3 linked regions of the Anolis sagrei genome follow. The protein of the gene in region 3 interacts with the protein of the main gene of each other region in a biochemical or structural test. Links are inferred from orthologs where the notes say so. Each region holds a gene or a part of one and is shown on either strand. Other genes may lie near its edges.

Region 1 (7,575 bases), on a different chromosome or scaffold from region 3:
TAAATAAATAAGGAGGAACCTCACTGCAATCTATTTCTGGCAATATAAATGCTGCTGCAAAACAGAAGTAGCCACAAATGTTCAGAGAGGCCAGCTGCAGAAAAACTATAGAACCAAGGAGCCAAAAATGTCTTCGAATGCTCTCTGAATGACAGTGAAAACATTTTCAATTTGCTGTTTGAAAGCTAGCACCTCAAAGAAGCGGAGAGAGTTCCATATATTATGTGCCACCAATGAAAAGACACTGATCTTTCTTCATCCATTGAGTCTTGTCATTTCAAGAAATAAATAAAAAAGGAAAAGAAAGGTGACATTCTCTTCCGCAAGGCCCAAAATTCTTGAAAGGAGGATTTCTAAAATAGATGGTTTTGCACAAGAGAGAACAGCCAAGGTCTCTTCCTGATCTTAAGTTCTTTGTTATACTCCTATCTTTCTCTTGTTCCAAAACACTCAGAGGGATTTTCATAACCATAAGAGTTGCATCTATATTGCAGTATTTCATTTTCCAAGTGCTCAGCTTACTTTTCATCTGCCACTTAAGGGTAACATGTATTGTAAGAATATTTTCACAGATTCTATCTAATGTTGGCATTTTTCCTTATGCATTTACTTACTAGATCTGTCATTATGTCTTTGATAGCAAGATGATTTGCAGAAATTAAACACACAAGACTTTCTTGCTGACTTTCTTCCCATACTAGGAATATATTACCTGCCTAAACTACTGCTTATGAAACTACTGTTTAAAAGGCACAAGAATGTGAGGAAGGGGGCCTGATAATTCTGTTTTCTCTTAGTATAACACAGGCATAGGCAATCTTCTGCCCTCCAGGTGTTTTGGACCTCAACTCTCACAATTCCTGACAGCTGGTCCAAAATACCTGGAAAGCCCAAATTTGCCCATGCCTGGTATAACCAGTGGGTCCAAACAAAAGAAGTTGTCCACCAATTACAGCATGGCGTATTGCACAATATACCTTTCAAATTAGGTTGGTTCTAAACAATTCTTACCAAGAAAACTCTGTGATACGTTCTCTTAAGTAGCTGTCAAAAATGACTTGAAAGCACGCAACAATTGCTTGCATTTAAAAAAACCTATGAAATGTGGGGTGAGGTCACCATATCTCAACCTGAAGGCACACACACACACACACACACACACAAGCAAGAAATAAATGCAGAACGTACAGCAAAATTGCTTTCAAACAAACCACCTAATGTGAAACACACCATCCACAAAAAAGATTGAAAGTTTGGCTATTTCCAAGTGGATGTTTCCAAATGTTTTGGACTTAAATGCCAATCACCCCTAGCCAGTATGGTTAACAAAAATGCTTCCTAGTCGATGGGAATTGTAGTCTAGAAGATTTGAAGGGCAACATTTTTATTTATTTATTTATTTATTTACTCACTCAATTTTTATACCACCTTCCTCACCCTTGGGAGGACTCAAGGAAGTTTTCAACATTGGAAGGTAAATGACACTGAATGCTGCAACTTGATTCGCTTGTGATCAACTAATTGGATAGATCACCACCATAAAAGCAGACATTTATAAACATTAGCCATTATTAGCTAACACACCACCAAGATAAAATGGGGAGGGGATTATTAAATTCCATAAGCATCACCCTGTGACTCCTCCAATTGATGGATTTTGCCTGTCAATAATGAGGTACAGTGAATCGTGGTGAGGAGGCAAACAGAATGTGCACAATGTCATGTGATAAGAATGGCTTCAGGGCTGGTTTGCCTACATTCTGTGATCTCAGATTTACTGTTCTATACAATTATTCCATGATTCTGGTCCTCTGATGCAGCTACTACATGACATTTTGATATATGTAAGCTAGTATGAGCTAGAATGATGCATTCTAGCATCTGATATTTGTTCTTCTTGTGACACATATGTATGCAGGGCGATCAAAAGTTCTTAGGTTCATTACAGCTAAAATTTAAAGGAGGCATAATACATTCTCAAACCAATGGTATTTGTGGCCTGTTTAAAATTAAACATAAAATCCCAGTATTGACTGGCAGCTCAGTTATGAACTTCCAAAAAAGGCCCAAGCTTCTCTGATGAATCACAGGCTGGTTTGATTTCTAACTGTGCAGGGGAAAACTTGAAACATGCTAGAAATCTGCCCAAAGTCCCTCCCCATTAAGACTGTGGGCTGAGAAATGTGAGTAAAATAGAAAGTCCCTCCTCGGTGGGCGATTTTGAAAGGGAAAATATTACCACATTTTGGGGGGCTGAAATTCTTTCCATTGACCAGTCCCTTTGCTGGCATTTCGTCTGGAACGAAGCTGTCAGGATGGAAGTAGGTAGACTCTTAGAAAGCTGGTTCTGTGCACATTGAGTCCTATTGAGCTTATCAAAGTTACTTTTTTTTTTACTTTAGCTCCTTCAAAGGTTAGGAGATTCTAAGAGTTGTAATCCAAAAAAGTAACTTTTCCAAGCTATGATACTAGAAGCTTTTCCAATGAAGAGGTGGGAAAGCTTCAGTCCATTCTAGTTTGAAGATGGGATGATAAAAGCAGTCTATGTGGAAGAAAAATTATGAATAAATAACTCGACATATTTACACTCTTATAACTTTACACAGTGTTTAACAGGCACTGTGAATATCTATCTTCAGATATGCAAAATTTGGAAAGCTCACCTTTTTGGACTACAAGTCACTCATCAACCATGATCACTGTCCATGGTAACTTTTCCATGTGCTGCAGGTATGACACCTTCTCAAGTTTTGTTTCTATTATCTGTCTTTTAAAAGGAAGTTATCATGATTTGCAAGATAATTTTAGGCATTAAAAGCTAAGCATAGCAATTGCTGCCAATGCAGGCAACCATATAATGTTGACTTATTGTTCTTACCTCTATCCTATCCTTATATATGAAAACTTGTCTTTGAAAAAACATAAAAGCTGTGCTGGAAGACATCTCATCTAGCCTTCTCTTCTCACTGTGGCCAACCAATTGACTGTGTGAAGTGAGATGTGAATGCAGTGGCAGCCTCCCATTTACGTTCCCCAGCAACTGGTGGTTAGAGACATCGTGTCTGTGATGCTGGAGGCATCTGTTGCCATCACAGGTACTAGTCACTGGCAACCTTCCTTTCTGTTGTTCTAAACATTCAACAGCAGTTGCAAAGCAAACCTGTGTTCTTTATAGCAGTGGTTCTCAACCTGTGGGTCCCCAGGTGTTTTGGCCACAACTCCCAGAAATACCACTTGAAGGCAAAAACATCTGGGGACACACAGGTTGAGAACATTGCTTTATACTATCAGGAAATAATAATGCTAAATAATCATTTCCATGTTTTTGCTCTCTAGTTGTCCTTTTTTGATTATTTATTATTGTGGTTATTTATTATTATTTATTATTTATCATTCAAGCTTCTCAGAGCTATTGCTCCTTAGTATGAGAGGAAATACATCTATTGTGTGTATGGCCATTCCCCACTTTAAAAGTCTAGCAATTAAATAAAAAATATTATTGTTCTACCAGGTGTTATCAACCGGAGATGTATAGCTGTGATTTTTTGTATCCCTTTTTTCCTCCCTATAGATTTTTTTTCTTTGCTACATCTGTATCTCTCCCTTTTTCAACATAACCAACACATCTGGAGGACACTGAGCTGAGAAAGGCTAATGTAGATGAATGCTTCTAGGGCACTTATATGAGAACAGACTGTCCTGGAGATGATTTGGTTTCAGACCATTCCGTGCTATAAAAATGAAATCAGCATCTTGGATTGAGCCCTGAATTTATCTGGCAACTAATGGTATTGAATAAAAAAAAACCACATGGTTGTGTCATCTAACCCTTGCAAGAATGCTGGTATAGCTGTAGGGTGGCTTGCTGGCATTTTTTAATAATACACTAGTCTAGAGCACATTACAGTAATCTAGCTAGAAATGATTGGAAGTAGAATTCGTTTTGCCTAAGAGTCCTACTTTTTATGGACTGAAAGTACTTTTAACAGCCTCATGGATGGCAATAATCAAAAGGTGAAACTATTCCATTACTGAGCTGTAACATCAGGAAAGTTTCACCTGTTGACTTTCTGCTTTTTACAAAATGTTCGAGGCACTGAATTTCTTAAGAGTCCACAAAGAAGGGGTGTTAAATTTAAGCACGCCACCTAGGCCAAAGTAGAGCATGAGGTCTTGGAAAGTGGAGTGATTCTTCCTTGCTTGAGGAGAACAAATGGACCTGCCTTTGTGTCTATGCCTGTGCCTTGCTCCTTTCCAGAAAGGGATGGATGGCTTCGAAGCTGGCAGGGAGCAGTAATTGAAAGGAGCAGATGAGTCAGGAATGCTGCACAGAGCTGCCAGCTAAGGGAGCTGACTGATCATCAATATCATTGTAGGAGAGCAAGTGAAAATAATCCAATGGGGCTGTTGTTTGAGAGGCGGCTGGACTTCTCTGGAGCACATGCCAGATCCTCCATCCACTCCCCCCTCCGCCCACCCCACTTTAGCCACAGCACTGCCCCAAGCAGCAGACTAATCCCCACAGGGAGAGTACATGAAATCAGATGGACAAGTTTTGATGCGAAGCAGCAGCTTAGGGCAAGCTCAGGTTTCCTGGAGGTTTGCTATATTTATCTCTGTGATTTAATGCCCGCACAGGGTTTAAATGCCACCAAGCAGTTGGTGTGAGAGGCCTGCGTTTCACTCCCCAACACACGCTCTGCCTTGCCAGACGCTCACCATGGAACTGCTAGAGACCAACCCATACTTTTTCACAGACCAACGGTTTTATGATGGGGAGAACTACCTGAGCCCTCGCTTACATGGCTATGAACAGACAGCCTACCAAGACAGAGCAGCTGTGAGCCTGTGCTCTGATGGCAGGGTTGGGGTTGAGGAGAAGACCTCCTCAGTCCTGCCAGACCACAGCCCTGGACAGTGCCTGCCTTGGGCATGCAAAGTATGCAAGAGGAAAAGTGTCTCCATCGACCGGCGCCGTGCTGCCACCCTGAGGGAAAAGCGCCGGCTGAAAAAAGTCAACGAGGCCTTTGAAGCTCTGAAACGGAGCACTTTACTCAACCCAAATCAGCGGCTTCCCAAGGTGGAGATTCTGCGCAGTGCCATCCAATACATTGAACGCTTACAAGCTCTGCTCAGTACCCTCAACCAACAGGAGCGGGACCAGCGGGAACTACACTACTGTAACAACAACAACCAGCCAGTGGTAAGTGCCAGGGGAAGGGGACAGGTCATCACACAGTCATCCAAGAGCGCAGCAAACAGCTACTGCATCAGCCTTTCCTAGAGAATCAGTAGCTTGACCGCCTTCAACAATATATTCCCAAGTCCAAACTCTCTAGCTTCTATTATTGGCTGCCACTCTGCCTATTCTCCAACAGTCATATATAAGCAAAGTCATATAAAGGTATTCGTAGTTTTCTGTAGATGTTACTACACTGTAAAAGGATAGCAGAAGTGCACTATGGTCTCCAGATATATTTGACTAACATCCCCATCAGTCCCAGGCAACATGATCAATGGTTTAGAAATTATGAGCATTATAGTTCAAAATCTGTAATGTATAGGGTACTCCATGGTGGGTGGGCTGGGAAGAACCATGTCTCCCAGTGTATTCTGGTAATGTATGTGGCTTAAGGCGACTGAAAGGGAATTGAACATTTTCAGAATTTGATATGGCTGGAGAATTATTTTCTTTCTACACAAATATTCCACCATTTAAAACTATACATTTCAGTTTTCATGTCCTTTATAGCTTTCATATTCACAGCTGACACAGGTAGAGGGTATACTTCCAGAAATATATGAATATTACTATATTGTTTTTCTCTATAAATGCAGCAGTGACTGTCTTGGTCTGTTCCTTTTAAATTAGTTGTGCATAATATAGTGGAATTGTGATAGTATTAACCTGCCTAATAAGGGTATTGCATAATGAAGAATTTTGGAATAGATGTATCCTTCCTTATCTATACTGCAGTTTATCAAAGGTGGGCATGAGTCACAGGACAAACTGGCATCACCCCTATAACCCAAGTGACTAGTGGATGGGATTTTATTCCAACAGATGGTACCTCAGGAAATGAATTCTAATACACATGCCAATGAGGAAGGACTTGGACGCTGGACACCTGTTGAGTTCAAATGGGTTACTGGGTATCTCCATTTAAAGATTTACAAGAGCATTTGGGTACAAGCCTTCAGTCCTAAGGGACAAAATACTACAAGATTGAATTCTGGGCTTCTCCTATAAGGCTCTCCAATATGTTTACAGCTCCTCCTTTCAAAGCATCCTTTCGGATTACTACTCTCTTATAATTGCTGAACAAAATGAGTAAGACCATTGTGGAACAGTATGTATTGTGAAAGGGCTCTAGTGGCAGTAGACATTTTGACTAGCCATTGCTATCTCATGTTGTAAACTTGCCCTCCGAGACTCTTGGAGCAGGTAGAAAACCTCTCACCTCCTATCAGTAGGATAAATTTGATTTGGGTTGTGTTTAGTTTCAAAGAATAGTATGGCTTTCCCATTTTCTTTCCAAATATCTTATTCTGAAATAAGTCCTCACATTTTGTAGGCTGAATGTTCATATACTGCCCAAAACAAGCTTGGGAATGTTCATCCAGCCTGGTTTGAGAACAGAGGAAAGTTATGAACAGCTGCAGGCTGTATTCTCTGTTCTTTGTCTGCTTCTCAATCTGTCTACTACATGTTCACCTAGGCTGTTGGCATTGGATTCAATTTCACAGGAGATCCCTGTAATGTACATTTGCAGCACTTTATAGACTCAGAAGACAGCAGCAAACCACAGCCATATCAGAAATTGTTTGTCTCTGTGTTGTTGTTGCTGTTTTCGATTCATTGAAGGTGAAAGACCCTTTAATTGGTGAAGCCGAGATTGCAATGATCATGCTGGTTGAGGAATGCTGAGAGTTCTGGTCTAAACAGAATCACCTTTCCCCAAATCTAATGCAGTCAAAGTGTGAAACCAGTACTAAAGATCTCCCATTTTCTCATTCAAGGTGGGTAGTGACCATGGACCCAGCAGCACTTCATGCAGTCCAGAATGGAGCACCCAGTTGGAGTTCAACACTCATCCAGGAGGTAAGACCATATTGTCTTCTGGGAACACAAAGGTCTAACCCTTTTTGCTCTTTAGAGGTAAGGACCATTCTGGTAGGATCTACACTGCTCTATATCCCAGGATCTGATCCCAAATTATCTGTTTATCCTATATTAACTAGACTCATATAATCCAGTTCAAAGCAGATAATCTGGGATCAGATCCTGGGATATAGAGCAGTGTAGATCCAGCTTCTATTAATCCTAAGTTCTCCTGCTCCGCTCCATCTTTAAAATGCATGTATGTGTAGAAGTATTTTACCATGATCTGTTCTAGAACGGGGGAAAACACAAATAGTATTGGGATATCTGTACTTAGAAGCAACTGCAAAGCTGGTAAAAGCAGGTCTGGACTCTAGAAAGTTACTTCTGGCCATAGAAAGCAACCTCTTACCTGTAAAAGGAAAAAATAGGTATCTTCCTGATAATAAAAATTATGTAAACACCTCCTTGAA
Region 2 (7,362 bases), on a different chromosome or scaffold from region 3:
CATTTACCTTAGTTGCTTAAATCTCTTGTGAAGCAAACATCACAACCTGTTAAATGATCTTACCCTTCCTAGACTTTTTTCATTTCTACCAATGTTCAGTGAAAAAGCAAAGGTATTGTATGTGCTACAATAAACTGTATAGATTGGAATTTGTCATCTTTTTTTTCTTATTCTGTTTAATGACATGTAAAGGGACATTCTGGTACTGAGCATATAGTCATGAAAGGTGGGGATAAGTCAAGTAAATGTACATCTTAGAATAGCCTTTCCAACTTGATGTTCACTGGAAGTGTGGAACTAAATCTCCTCATCTCCAGCCAACAGAAGTATTGGGACAAAGAAAATGGTCATCCATGCCAATTATCTTGAAGACAGGTTATATATATATATATATATTAAAAAAACCCACTAAAATGTTGCTAAATAATGTAGGGAAAACACTACTATTGCTAGAGTCAGTGACCAGGCAGGTTTAGAGAAAATAAGTCCAAATATTTGATTAATATTTTAAATAAGACAACATTATAGAATGTGCCATATGGGGCTGCTGCATTTATGTTTGTCAAATTTTATTATATTTCCTGATTTTTTTTTAAATTAAGTTGATTTTACAGCTACAACTTGAAGAGCAGCACTCAATGTGTTATAATAAAATAAGAAAAAGCAAAAAGTAAATAATTCAATAGAAAAAGCACTAACAAGTTATCATTTCTTAAGAAGTTAAACCTATGCTTCGTTCAACTATGGCATTTCTTCCTTGTCCCCCATGTAGACTACAGTATAACACTAAGTATCTAGAACCAATGTTTAATCATTAAACACAACATAGCTAACAAGATCAAATAGCTCCTAGTCCCACACACTTCAAATTCCTTTTCCAAGATACGTGGAGAGATGATTTCAGTGCATTCTGTGTCTTTAAAAGAGATTGCCTTTATTAGCAGAACATCTGTTTATTTCATAACGTAATCAGTGGTATTACCTGCACTTATCTTGGGGCCACTCCCTTTGAATTCAGTGATGAAAAGTTTGCTTTAAAATGCAGTTTTGTCATCAAAGAAAATGTGGGTAACTTCTGTTAGCAATATGTTTTCTTCCTGTGAAGGATTTATTGTTTTCAAGCCTGGAATTAAAAAAAATGAAGTGAGTTTATGGAAAGTGCATTACCCTCACTAGTAACAGGCTACTAAATTAGTCCAGAACTGGAAGAAAACCCTATAATGTTTCCTTATGGACTTGAATATTTCTAACCACCTTCAAACTGTCCATTAAAATACACACCAAATGAGATGTAATCCTGGTCATCACCCACCATACTTTGTAAACGCAGAACTTAGTTTCTAGAAATAAGGCACTGGAACTCAAATGTTCCTTCAAATAACACTTAGCCCCCCAACTGGTATGACCAGTGCTCAGGGATGGCAGAGGCTGCAGTCCAGCAACATCTGAAAGATCTTAGGGTTCTTCTACACAGTCATATAATCCAGAATATCAAGGCAGATATTCCACATTATCTACTTTGAACTGAATTATCTGAGCCTACACTGCCAGATAATCCAGTTCAAAGCAAATAGCCTGGGTTTCTTCTACACAACTAAGTATCTAGTTGTGTAGAAGGGGCCTTAGAGCCCTTCCAGACAGGCCCTATATCCCAGGATCTGATCTCAGGTTTTCTGTTTATCCCAGATTATTTTGCAGTATGGACTCATATAATATAGTTTAAAGCAGAAAATCTGGGATCCGATCCTGGGATATAAGAGCCTGTCTGGAAGGGTCCTTAGTTTCTCCGCTTCTGGAACTTCATTATTGAAATGCTTTAATAAATAATAATAAAACTTTATTTAATACCCCAATGGGGACTCAGGGCGGCTTACATGAGGCCAAGCCCAACAACATATTACAATAAAGTGAAACCAAAACACAACAACACGGTAAAATGCATACAACATATGAGTACAAAAAACGATAAAACAAAATCATACACAATGAAATAAAATAAAATAACAAAGAGTGGGATGCATCTGCAAGATAAAAACTAAGATACTAAAAATACTAAAATCAGGATGAGACAGGGATGGAGCAGATTGTTTCTGAGGGAGAAACTCATAAAGGAACTGGCTCATAAATATAGACCTTTCTATAGGTGGGGAAATATACTCTGGGGACAAAACCGTTGAGGGGGAGCAACTGTGTATGATAATATGGCTACTCTCCAAAAGTGCATCGGAAAAGCCAGGTTTTGAGATCCCTCTTGAAAATTTCTAAGGTGGGGGCCTTCCTAATTTCACCAGGCAATGAGTTCCAGAGTTGGGGGGCCACAGAGGAGAAGGCTCTCTCCCTTGTGCTTACAAGATGAGCCTGTGATAATGGCAAGGGTGAAAGGAGAGCCTCCTCCGAGGATCTAAGAGCTCAGGCAGGATCCTTTAACTCAATTGTACTCCTTGATAGGTTTTAGGTTTGGGAATTGACATGGCAGCCACTAACAGCCCAGATGTCATTTCTGGTTTATAGTGACTTTGGCCCCTTCCACACAGCCAAATAAAATCCCACAGTCATGGGGTTTTCTGGGGCTGAGGGTGCATGACTTGCCTCAGGAGCAGGATTTGAACCATTGTCTTGCAGCCATTACAAATGCTGATTTAGGAGCATGGCCTGAACCCTTATCTCAGGGGTGTCAACCTCATTTTTACTGAGGGCTACATAAATCTTACGGCTGCCTTCAAAGGGTGGCTTGTAATTGTAAGACTATATAAATGTAACTATGTTGCCCTGGCACTGAAAGCTTCATGAGCCACATAAAATTAAGTGGTGGGCTAGGTTTGGCCTGCAGGCCTTGCGTTTGACATGTGCGCCCTATCTGAACACACACCAGGAATACGAGCTTGGTTTTATGTTTAGTGCTCAGAGCAAAGGTTTTTTTTTTTTTTTCGTGTCAGGAGCGACTTGAGAAACTGCAAGTTGCTTCTGGTGTGAGAGGATTGGCAAGGACGTTGCCCAGGGGATGCCCGGATGATTTGATGTTTTTATCATCCTTGTGGGAGGCTTCTCTCATGTCCCCGCATGAGGAGCTGGAGCTGATAGAGGGAGCTCATCTACCTCTCCGCAGATTCAAACCTGCGACCTGTCGGTTTTCAGTCCTGCTGGCACAGGGGTTTAACCCACTGCGCTTGATGTTTTTATCATCCTTGTGGGAGGCTTCTCTCATGTTCCCGCATGAGGAGCTGGAGCTGATAGAGGGAGCTCATCCGCCTCTCCCCAGATTCGAACCTGCGACCTATTGGTCTTCAGTCCTGCCGGCACAGGGGTTTAACCCACTGCGCTTGATGTTTTTATCATCCTTGTGGAAGGCTTCTCTCATGTCCCCGCATGAGGAGCTGGAGCTGATAGAGGGAGCTCATCCGCCCCTCCCCAGATTTGAACCTGCGACCTGTCGGTCTTCAGTACTGCCGGCACAGGGGTTTAACCCACTGCGCCAATGGGGGCTCCAATTCAAGAGCTAGGCCGGGCCTATAATACAGCAGCTTGCCTAGGAGTCCCTCAGCTAAGGCTCCAACCCACTCACTGGTTGCTCAGCCTTTGGTGCCCTTTATGGATGGGAAGTGTGGCGCCCCCTACAGGGCCAAAGCCTTCCCCGCCTTGGTGAGGCCTAGTTCCCATAGTAACAGGGGGCGGGGCCTGGGAGGTGTGGAGCCCCTCGACGCTGCGTGTCCCGGGGGGGGGGAGCAGGGGTTACCATGGCAGCAGCAGCAGCCGCCTCCTCCACCTCTCCCCCGCCTTCTCTTTCATCTCCTCCATCTTGCCCTGCGTCGCCGTGGCAACCGCGGGGGCGCGCGGAGGGCGGCGAGGGGGCGAGAGCTGGGCCCTTGGTTCCGCACCCACACCTCTGCCCCGCTCCCCTCGCGCGGCCTGTGGGCCCTCCCACGAGTCTTGAGCTGGATGGCCCTCTGCTGGGAGTGCTTTGATTGGGTCTTCCCGCCTGGCTGGGCGGGATGGGCTCGGGCTGGGTGGCCCTTGGGGTCACTCCACGTTCTTTGATTCCTCCTCCTCCTCCCATCCAGTCAAAGGAGGAGGAGGAGGCGTCGTCGTGGTAGTTGGGCCCGCCTCTCGGCCTGCTCCATGTGACGGGCGCCGTCAGCGCGGCATCTCCTCCGAAGAGGTCACCGGCGGCAGGAAGGAGGAGGAGGAGGAGGAGGAGGAGAGGAGGAGGAAGAAGAAGAAGGCGAAGAGGAGGAGGAGGAGAGGGCCCGCCCCCTCTTTCTCTCTCTCTCTCTCCCTCCCCACACCTTCCCCATTCCCCCCCCCCCCCCAACCCACCCCGCCTCCTGCCAGAGGACAGCAGCTGGGAGGAAGGAGCTGTCCAGAGAGGGCGCAGGCACTGGGAAGAAAGCTCTCCCAGCCTCCCATCCCAAAGTGGCCGCCAAGAGGAGGAAGAGGAGGAGGAGGAGGGAGAGGACCCCACAAAGCCAGCCCCCAGAGACCGGAAGCGGAGGAGCTGGGGGGGGCCCGCCCGCCCCATGGAGCCCCCCGGGGCTGCTGCCACTGCTGCTGCCATGCTGACAGGTGAGGATGTAGAGGGAGGGAGGGAAGGAGGGACCCCAAAGGCTGCTTCCCTCCCTCCCTCCCACAGTCCTGAATCCCGCCTCCACTCCTGCCTTTTTTGATGTGGGACAGGCAGGGAAACATGTCGCCACCTAAGGAAAGAAAACCCCTTGGATCAAAAGCGGATTTCACTTTGAGAGGTCTCACCCAGGGCTAATAGAGGAGCGCCTTTCAGGGTGGCAGGCTGTCAGATCTTGGGGATCCACGCCAGAGTGGGCTGTGAACATATTTACAGGCTGTGCCCTGCCCTGGGGTCCAAAGAGGAGAACTAAGTACACAATCACAGGATAATCTGGTGGGAAGGGACCACATGGGCCATCCAGTCCAACCCCCGCTCTGCAGGAAATAGAATAATAGAGTAATAGAATAATAGAGCTGGAGGAGACCTCATGGGCCATCTAGTCTAACCCCCTGTCACACAGGAAAAGTACAATAATGGAATAATAGAGTTGGAGGAGACCGCATGGGCCATCTAGTCCAACCCCCCTGTCTTACAGGAAAGGTACAATCATAGAATAATAGAGTTGGAAGGGATACATGGGCCATCTAGTCCAACCCCCTGCCATGCAGGAAAAGTACAATCATAGAATAATAGAGCTGGAGGAGACCACATGGGCCATCTAGTCTAACCCCAGTCATACAGGAAAAGCACAATCATAGAATAATAGAGGTGGAGGAGACCTCATGGGCCATCTAGTCCAACCCCCCTCATCATACAGGAAAAGTACAATAATAGAATAATAGAGTTGGAAGAGACCTCATGGGCCATCCAGTCCAACCCCCCTGCTTTGGGAGACCACATGGGCCATCTAGTCCAACCCCCTTTCATGCAGGAAAAGCACAATAATAGAATAATAGAGTTGGAAGAGACCACATGGGCCATCTAGTCTAACCCCTGTCATACAGGAAAAGTACAATAATAGAATAATAGAGTTGGAAGAGACCTCATGGGCCATCCAGTCCACCCCCTCCCCCATCATACATGAAAAGTGCAATAATAGAATAATAGAGTTGGAAGAGACTACATGAGCCATCCAGTCCAACCCCCTGCCATGCAAAAAAAGCACAAAGCAACCCCAAGAGATGGCCATCCAGCTTCTGTTTAAAAGCCTCCACACACTCAGAGGCAATGAGTTCCACTGTTGAACAGCTCTTACAGTCAGGAAGTTCTTAATGTTCAGGTGGTAGACTCTCAGTTCATTGGCTCCCATGGGGATTGGTAAATGATGGAAAAATGTAGTTTCTGGTTGCTTGAATAGTTCGTATGAAAAATAGGCCTAGCTATATCCCATACTATCCCATACTATAAACCAAGCATGGGCAAACTTAAGCTCTCCAGGTGTTTTGGACTTCAATTCCCATAATTCCTAGTAGCCAGTAGGCTGTTAGGAATTTGGGAATTGAAGTCCAAAACACCCGGAGGGCCAAAGTTTGCCCATGGCTACTATACATTCTGTATTGACTTGATGTTAATCTTGAAATACAGTAATTAAAAGCAAATGAAGACCAATGCAGATGAATTTAACTTAATGTAATACAGTTTTACTGTATTATATACATGCATTCTAATTTTTATTTAAAGTAGGATTTCTTTGATTATTTTTTTTGCTGGTTGCTTGAGTGTTCCAATTGCTTGAGTTACAGTTAACTGAGGGTAATGTAGATTCCAGAAGAGGGGATGTAGTTTGACATCTGAATCCTTCCATGATCTGCCTCATCATTAGGGATTCTTTGACTTCACAAACCCAGAGAGGACACTGGATTTTTCCTAGCCCTTACCTATCCTCTAGGTCACTCCCTCTTCTGTCTTGGGTGATGGGAACTCTCCCCAATTTTACCACCTGTCCTGCTCCCACTTTACCCCATGGCCCCCATTTTCTGCGTTAACAGCCAGATTAGCATTGGATGGGATTTTGTATTAAATCCAGTGCCAGAAAATCCTTTCTTTAGGCCAAATCCAGAGATTCACTGGGGGGAGGGGGGAGGAGAGGAGTGAGTGGGCGAATAAGCCTGTTCTTCATTCAATCCCTGCAGCTCTTCTCTTCCAGATTTGGGGCAGGCCTTTTTCCCAGAGCTAGAATCAACAAACTGCTGGGCACTCTCCCTGCCTCAAAGACTTTCTTTGGGGAATAGGTATAGTTAGGACAGGGCCCCTCATTATGACGGGGCATCCTATCAGTTTATATTCAAGGCTTATTTTGAAAGGGATGGGGGTGAAGCTAGGAGAGAAATGGGATTCATATTTTGGCAGGTCATAGCAAGACTCAGAACATGTATAGAGTCAAGTAACGTTAACTGCTGCCCTGGCAACACTGGAATAAGAGCAAAGACCTTCCAGGGCAAAGGAATGACTTGTTTCTATGTGCTTCCATTTTAGATGTTAACTACTGTTTGAGGCCTATGAGCAGGATATGAGGAGTAATAGATGACATAAATTTCCAATTATTTTTTCTAAGTACCATCTTATTCTTCCCTCTTAGTTATGCTTTGGTCTGCTGCATGTATCCATAAGTCATGCTTCTCACTTGTTCCTTGCATGGGTTGTACTTCTAGTGTGTGGCCTCAGCATGCTTGAGTCCCCAACCTAGGGATGTCAAACTCATTTTCACCGAGGACTGCATCTGCCTTATGGTTACCTTCAAAGGGCCTTTTGTAATGGTAAAACTGTATTATTATTTTTTTCATATACTTGTATCCCGCCCTTCTCACCCCCAAGGGGGGACTCAGGGAGGCCTCACAGCAAACACCATTCGGTGCCATCAT
Region 3 (7,600 bases):
TATTATTTTAGCAAGTATTATCTTCCTAAAATAGAGGCTGGGTGGATATCTCTCAGGAGGGGTTTGATGGAACAGGGGCTGGCTGGCCATCTGTCAGGAAGGTTTTGAGTAGGGTTGGCCTTTGGGTGTCCCTTCCAACTCTTATGATTTTATAAACTTGCTTTCTTGGAAGTTGTTTAAACAGTGGCCATCTATCAGGAAGGTTTTGATGGAACAGAGGCTGGCTGGCCATCTGTCAGGAGGGTTTTGAGTGGGGTTGGCCTTTGGGTGTCCCTTCCAACTCTTATGATTTTATAAACTTGCTTTCTTGGAAGTTGTTTAAACAGTGGCCATCTATCAGGAGGGTTTTGATGGAACAGAGGCTGGCTGGCCATCTGTCAGGAGGGTTTTGAGTGGGGTTGGCCTTTGGGTGTCCCTTCCAACTTTATGATTTTATAAACTCACTTTCTTGTGAGTTGTTTAAACAGAGTGGCCATCTGCAGGGAGGGCTTTGATGGTGCCTTCCTGAATGCAGTTGGACTGGATGGCCCTTAGGTGTGCCTTCCAACTCTATTATTTTAGAAACCCCCCTCTTCCTAAAATAGCGGCTGGCTGACCATCTGTCAGGAGGGTTTTGAGTGGGGTTGGCCCTCGGGTGCCCCTTCCAGCTGTATGATTTCATAAACCCTTCTTTCTCTGGAGTTGTTTAAACTGGCTATCTGTCAGGAGGGTTTTGATGGAACAGAGGCTGGCTGGCCATCTATCAGGAGGGTTTTGAGTGGGGTTGGCCCTCGGGTGCCCCTTCCAGCTGTATGATTTCATAAACCCTCCTTTCTCTGGAGTTGTTTAAACTGGCTATCTGTCAGGAGGGTTTTGATGGAACAGAGGCTGGCTGGCTATCTGTCAAGACAGTTTTGTGTGGGGTTGGCCTTTGGGTGTCCCTTCCAACTTTATGATTTTATATACTCACTTTCTCGGGAGTTGTTTAAACAGAGTGGCCATCTGCAGGGAGGGCTTTGATGGTGCTTCCTGACTGGATGGCCCTTGGGTGTCCCAACTCTATTATTTTAGGAAGCCCCCTCTTCCTAAAATAGTGGCTGGCTGGCCATCTGTCAGGAGGGTTTTGAGTGGGGTTGGCCCTCGGGTGTCCCTTCCAATTCTATGATTTCATAACCCCTCCTTTCTCTGGCCTTGTTTAAACAGTGGCCATCTGTCAGGAGCGTTCTGATGGAACAGGGGCTGGCTGGCCATCTGTCAGGAGAGTTTAGAGCGGGGTTGGCCGTTGGGTGTCCCCTCCAACTCTATGATTTTATAAACTCATTTTCTTGTGAGTTGTTTAAACAGAGTGGCCATCTGCAGGGAGGGCTTTGATGGTGCTTCCTGAATCGAGTTGGAGTGGATGGCCCTTGGATGTCCCTTCCAACTCCCCTCTTCCTAAAATAGAGGCTGGCTGGGCATCTGTCAGGAGAGTTTTGAGTGGGGTTGGCCCTTGGCTGTCCCTTCCAACCCTATGATTTCATAAACCCTCCTTCTCTGTAAACAGTGGCCATCTGTCAGGAGGGTTTTGATGGTGGAACAGGGGCTGGCTGACCATCTGTCAGGAGGGTTTTGAGTGGGGTTGGCCGTTGGGTGTCCCTTCCAACTCTATGATTTTATAAACCCCCTTTCTCTGGAGTTGTTTAAACAGTGGCCATCTGTCAGGAGAGTTTTGAGTGGGGTTGGCCGTTGGGTGTCCCTTCCAACTCTGATTTTATAAACTCACTTTCTTGTGAGTTGTTTAAACAGAGTGGCCATCTGCAGGGAGGGCTTTGATAGTGCTTCCTGAATGGAGTTGGACTGGATGGCCCTTAGGTGTCCCTTCCAACTCCCCTCTTCCGAAAATAGAGGCTGGCTGGCCATCTGTCAGGAGGGTTTTGATAGAACTGGAGCTGGCTTGCAATCTGTCAGGAGGGTTTTGAGTGGGGTTGGCCCTCGTGTGTCCCTTCCAATTCTATGATTTTATAAACCCTCCTTTTTCAGGAGTTGTTTAAACAGTGGCCATCTGTCAGGAGGGTTTTGATGGAACAGGGGCTGGCTGGCCATCTGTCAGGAGGGTTTTGAGTGGGGTTGGCCTTTGGGTGTCCCTTCCAACTGTATTTTTTCATAAACCCTCCTTTCTCTGGAGTTGTTTAAACTGGCTATCTGTCAGGCGGGTTTTTATAGAACTGGAGCTGGCTGGGCATCTGTCAGGAGGGTTTTGAGTGGGGCTGGCCTTTGGCTGTCCCTTCCAACTGTATGATTTCATAACCCCTCCTTTCTCTGGAGTTGTTTAAACAGTGGCCATCTGTCAGGAGGGTTTTGAATTGCCCCTTGGCTTCCAACTCTAGTTCTGTAGAGAGGCCACCTGCCGGGAGGGCTTTGAGGGTGCCTTCCTGAGCGGCGGGGACTCACCTTCTTCATGATGCCGGTCTTCCTCTTGCTGAAGGTGGTGTATCGGCGCAGCTTGTTGTCGATGAATTCCATCTTGATCTTGACGCGCCCGCGGGTCTTCTTGCCGGGCTTGGCCCCGCTGGCCGCGCCGCTGTACCCTCCTCCCCCTCCGGGGGCTCCCGCAGCCAGGGCAGCCGAGGAGGGCGCCTCCTGCCCCGCCGCCACTGATTGCCCCACTCCTCCCGCCGCCGCGGCACCCAGCTCCACCTCCCCGAGCGCCCGCTTCACCCCTCGGCGGTCGCCCAGCGGCTCCTCGTCCTCGCCCGAGTCGGAGTCCCCCTCGCTGCCGCTGCCTGCGCCTCCCAGCACGGCGTCGCGGTCGAAGCGCGGCCCGGTCCCATTGCCGGGGCCTCGGAGGCGGTGCGGGGCCGACGAGGAGGAGGAGGAGGGCGGCCGCGGCAAGGCCATGCCCGGGCCCCGGGGCAGCGCGGCAGAGGCGGACCCGTTCCCGGCCTTGCTGGGCAACATGTTCTCCCTTCTACGAGGCCGGCGCTGCCATGGCTCTCCCCGGCTTGGCCTGGCCCGGCCTAGCCCGGCCCCCTCCGCTCTCCCCGGCCTCCTCCCCCCCTCCTTCCTTCCTGCCCTCCTCCCTCCCTCCTTCCAAAAGCCCATATAAAGCCAGTCGAGATCTCCTTTTATGGCGAGGGCGCTCCTTATATGGCGCGAGGCGCCGCTCGGACGCCATTGGCCGCCGCCCCTCCGCTACGTCAAAGCTCCCGCGCAACCATTGGCTGGGGAAAGGAGACCGCTCGGCTTCCGGTTGGCCGGAGGGGAGAAGGCAGGAAAAGGGGGTCTATTTGCATACATTCCAAAAGGCCTTCGCGGTGACGTCAGCGGGGGGCGCTGCTTCTTAAAGGGGAAGAGCGCTCACATTTCGGGCACAGAGGGAGACAAGCCTGTGGTACAAGGTGTGGGCAAACTTGGGCACTCCAGGTGTTTTGGACTCCAACTCCGATAATTCCTAACAGCCTCAAGCCTCCTCCTTTTCCCCCTCAGCTGCTTAAGCGCTCACATTTGGGGCAAAGAGGAAGAGAAGTCTGTGTCAGAAGTCTGGGCCAACTTGGGCCTTCCCTCCAGGTATTGTGGACTCCAACTCCCAGCATTCCTAACAGCCTTAGGTCCTTTCCTTTTCCCCCTCAACCACTAAGCGCTCACATTTGGGGCAAAAAGGAAGAGAAGCCTTTGGCAAAGGTCTGGGTTAATTTGGGCCATCCAGGTGTTTTGGACTCCAACTCCCATAATTCCTAACAGCCTCAAGCCTCCTCCTTTTCCCCCTCAGCTGCTTAAGCGATCACATTTTCTGCAAAGAGGAGAAGAAGTCTTTAGCACAGGTCTGGGTTAATTTGGGCCATCCAGGTGTTGTGGACTCCAACTCCCAGCATTCCTAACAGCCTCAGGCCCTTTCCTTCCCCCCTCCTCTGCTACTTAGGCGCTCACATTTGGGGCAGAGAGGAGGAGAAGCCTGTGACAACGGTATAGGTAAATATGGGCCCTCCAAGTGTTTTGGACTCCAACTCCCATAATTCCCAACAGCCTCAGGCGCCTTCCTTTTCCCCCTCAACCCCTTAGCGCCCACATTTCATAGAATCAGAGTTGGAAGAGACCTCTGGGCCATCCAGTCCAACCCCCTGCCAAGAAGCAGGAATATTGCATTCAAAGCACCCCTGACAGATGGCCATCTAGCCTCTGTTCAAAAGCTTCCAAATAGGGAGCCTCCACCACACTCCGAGGCAGAGAGTTCCACTGCTGAATGGCTCTCACAGTCAGAAAGTTCTTCCTCATTTGGGGCAAAGAGGAGGAGAAACCTGTGACGCAAGTCTGGGACAACTTGGGCCTTCCCTCCAGGTGTTTTGGACTCCCAACTCCCAGCATTCCTAACAGCCTCAGGCCCTTCCCTTTTCCACCTCAGCCGTTTAAGTGCTCCCATTTGGAGCAGAGAGGAGGAGAAACTTGTGGCACCGGTCTGGGTAAATTTGGGCCTTCCAGGTGTTTTGGACTCCAACTCCCAGCATTCCTAACAGCCTCAGGCCCCTTCCTCCCCCCCCCCCCCCCCAGCTGCTTAAGCGCTCACATTTGGGGCAGAGAGGAGAAGTCTTTGGCACAGGTCTGGGTTAATTTGGGCCATCCAGGTGTTTTGGACTCCCAAGTCCTAGCATTCCTAAGAGCCTCAGGCCCCTTCCTTTTCCCCCTCAGCCGCTTATGGAAAAGGAAAGGGCCTGAGGCTCTTAGGAATGCTGGGACTCGGAATTCAAAACACTTGAAGAGAAGGTCCAAGTTGGCCTGGGCCTGCTGTGACTCCTTCTACACAGCGGAATAAAACCCCACCTTGAACTGAATTATATGGCAATGTGGACTCAGATAACCCAGTTCAAAGCAGATATTGTGGGATTTTATTTATTTATTTACTTATTACAGCTTTTATATTCCGCCCTTCTCACTCCGCAGGGGACTCAGGGCGGATTACAGTGTGCACATATATGGCAAACATTCAGTGCCAATTTGACATACAACATATACAGACATAGACAGAGGCTATTTAACTTTTTCTGGCTGCCAGGGAGCTGTCGCTTTCATCGTCCATCTGCGACACTGATGAAGTACTTCCGCATTCCCCGCATGCTTTGCTGAAGTCTTTTTTTATGGCCTCATAAATTAGTTAATTTAGCCTCCCCACACTTTAAGGTGGTACCTAATTTTCCTACTTGACAGATGCAACTGTCTTTCGGGTTGCAAAGGTCGACAACGGGCTACACAATTGGTTGGAAACCCACTCCAACCCGAGCTGGCTTCGAACCCATGACCTTTTGGTCAGAGTGATCTTAATGCAGCTGACACTCAGCCAGCTGCGCCACAATCCCGGTGCCTTTATATTCTGGGGGCCCATCCACACAGCCATATCAAGGCTGAAAATCCCACGATATCCGCTTTGAACTGGGTTATCCGAATCCACACTCAAATATTGTGGAATTTCCTGCCTTGATAACCTGGGATAAAGGGCTGTGTGGAAGGGCCCAGGGTCCACACTGCTATATAATACAGTTCAATGTGGGATTTTATACAACTGTGTCGAAGGGCCTAAGTTGCACCTCTAAAACTTTATTGTAGGGGCCTTTCCACACAGCCCTATATTTCAGAGGGGGGGGGGGGTTCACATTAAAAAAACCCACGCACAGGCGTCTTCCAAAGAAAATAAAAACCAACCAACCAAAGTCCCATGGCGATCAGCGAGTGGCGACGGGGGCAGGACTGTGAAATCTGGAAGCCCCTAGTCACAGACTGGCACATGGGCGGTGGGTATGGACTCAGTCGTTCTACCTCAAGGACCGAGGCAGTTGAGTAGTTCGGCAGCTGTATCCGCGACTGAGCAGCCCTTTTGAGGATCCACTCTGCTCACCCCACATGGGGAGGGGGCTAGAAAAGGTGCCCTAAACATAGTCTGCCTCTCTCATCCCTGACTGGACTGCCGCGTCCAGTGGGGTCACCACCCCGCGGCCAAAAAAGAAAAATGAACTTTGGTACGTGGAACGTACGGACTCTGATGGACAACAGTGGCAGTGAACGCCCCGAACGCAGAACTGCCATCATTGCAAGGGAGCTGGGACGCTTCAACATCGACATAGCAGCCCTTCAGGAGACCCGGAGAGCAGGGGAGGGACAGCTGAAGGAAGAAAAAGGAGGCTACACCTTCTTCTGGAAGGGACTGCCTGAAGAAGACCAAAGAATGCACGGAGTCGGCTTTGCCATCAGAAATGATCTGGTGAAACATCTGTCCGAAGCACCCACTGGCATCAACGAACGTCTCTCAACCCTCCGAATCAATCTTGCCAAAAACCAACGGGCAACCATCATAAGTGCCTATGCACCAACACTAGATGCTGACGAAGACATCAAGGAGAAATTCTACTGTCAGCTGGACACCGTCCTATCGGGGATACCTAAGGAGGACAAAATCATCCTCCTGGGGGACTTCAATGCAAGAGTCGGGCGAGACTTCGACCTGTGGCCAGGAACCATAGGAAAAGACGGGGTTGGAAACAGCAACCCGAATGGCATCCTGCTTCTCACCAAATGTGCGGAACACAACCTTGTCATCACCAACACGCTCTTCCGCCAGAAAAACAAGTTCAAGACATCATGGAAGCACCCCCGGTCAAAGCATTGGCACCTCTTAGACTATGTAATCACACGTGCCAGAGACCGCCGTGACGTGCTCCTCACAAGAGCCATGACAGGTGCTGACGACTGCTGGACTGACCACAGGCTAATCCGATCCTCGATGGCCATCAAGATCGCTCCCAAGCGCAGACTCCAAGGCAGAAAGACAAGGCGCAAAATGAACACCCAAGCCCTTCAGGAGCCCTCCAGACGAGCCCATCTCCAAACAGCACTCAAGAACCATCTACCCACAGAACACCCCGAAAATGTTGAGGAACATTGGAACAAACTGAAGACCTCCATCATCCAAGCCTGCGAAGAAACTATTGGATACCAAGCCAAGAAACATCAAGACTGGTTTGATGAAAATGACATCGAGATCCAACAGCTAATTGACAAGAAAAGGAAAGCCTTCCAAACATGGCAGAGAAACATCAACTGTGCTGCTAAGAAAAAGATCTACGCTAGTGCAAAAGCCGAGGTCCAAAGAAGGACAAGAGAACTCAAGAACATCTGGTGGACAAAGAAGGCTGAAGAAATCCAACACCTGGCAGATACCCATAATGCTCAAGGATTTTTCAAAGCCACAAAGGTCATCTACGGACCAAGAAACCATGGCATACAGCCTCTACGCTCATCAGATGGAACCAAACTCCTGAAGGACCAAAACTCAATTGCACTACGTTGGAAAGAACACTACCAAAGCCTCCTGAACCGCAGCTCCAATGTGGCCGAAGAGGTCCTCTCACAAATCCCGCAACAACAAACCAGGGATGAGCTTGCAGCACCGCCTAGTTTGGAAGAAGTCAGCAATGCCATCAGCCAGCAGAAGAATAACAAAGCCAGCGGACCGGATGGGATCCCTGCTGAAATCTTCAAAGAGGGAGGACCTGAGCTGACACACCAACTCCACCAGCTCATAGAAAAAGTGTGGGTGACCGAGAAAATCCCAGCAGACTTCAAGGATGCCACCATCATCACCCTCTTCAAAAAAGGG

What was found.
Region 1: the proteins of SRF (region 3) and MYOG form a complex in vitro, tested with the Homo sapiens proteins (2 studies listed by BioGRID and IntAct). The link is inferred for Anolis sagrei from reciprocal best matches to the Homo sapiens genes SRF and MYOG.
Region 2: the proteins of SRF (region 3) and ELK1 form a complex in vitro, tested with the Homo sapiens proteins (2 studies listed by BioGRID). The link is inferred for Anolis sagrei from reciprocal best matches to the Homo sapiens genes SRF and ELK1.

The regions. Positions count from the first base shown.
Region 1 is NC_090024.1:206,026,014-206,033,588, forward strand, and holds the start of MYOG (myogenin), read left to right. Parts: upstream 1-4,500; 5' UTR 4,501-4,645; coding exon 4,646-5,203; intron 5,204-7,020; coding exon 7,021-7,102; intron 7,103-7,575. UniProt on the Homo sapiens protein: Acts as a transcriptional activator that promotes transcription of muscle-specific target genes and plays a role in muscle differentiation, cell cycle exit and muscle atrophy.
Region 2 is NC_090022.1:193,085,668-193,093,029, reverse strand, and holds the start of ELK1 (ETS domain-containing protein Elk-1), read left to right. Parts: upstream 1-4,299; 5' UTR 4,300-4,514; coding exon 4,515-4,560; intron 4,561-6,976; exon of another isoform or gene 6,977-7,054; intron 7,055-7,102; exon of another isoform or gene 7,103-7,257; intron 7,258-7,362. UniProt on the Homo sapiens protein: Transcription factor that binds to purine-rich DNA sequences. Forms a ternary complex with SRF and the ETS and SRF motifs of the serum response element (SRE) on the promoter region of immediate early genes such as FOS and IER2.
Region 3 is NC_090021.1:25,542,533-25,550,132, reverse strand, and holds the start of SRF (serum response factor), read right to left. Parts: upstream 3,017-7,600; 5' UTR 2,917-3,016; coding exon 2,410-2,916; intron 1-2,409. UniProt on the Homo sapiens protein: SRF is a transcription factor that binds to the serum response element (SRE), a short sequence of dyad symmetry located 300 bp to the 5' of the site of transcription initiation of some genes (such as FOS).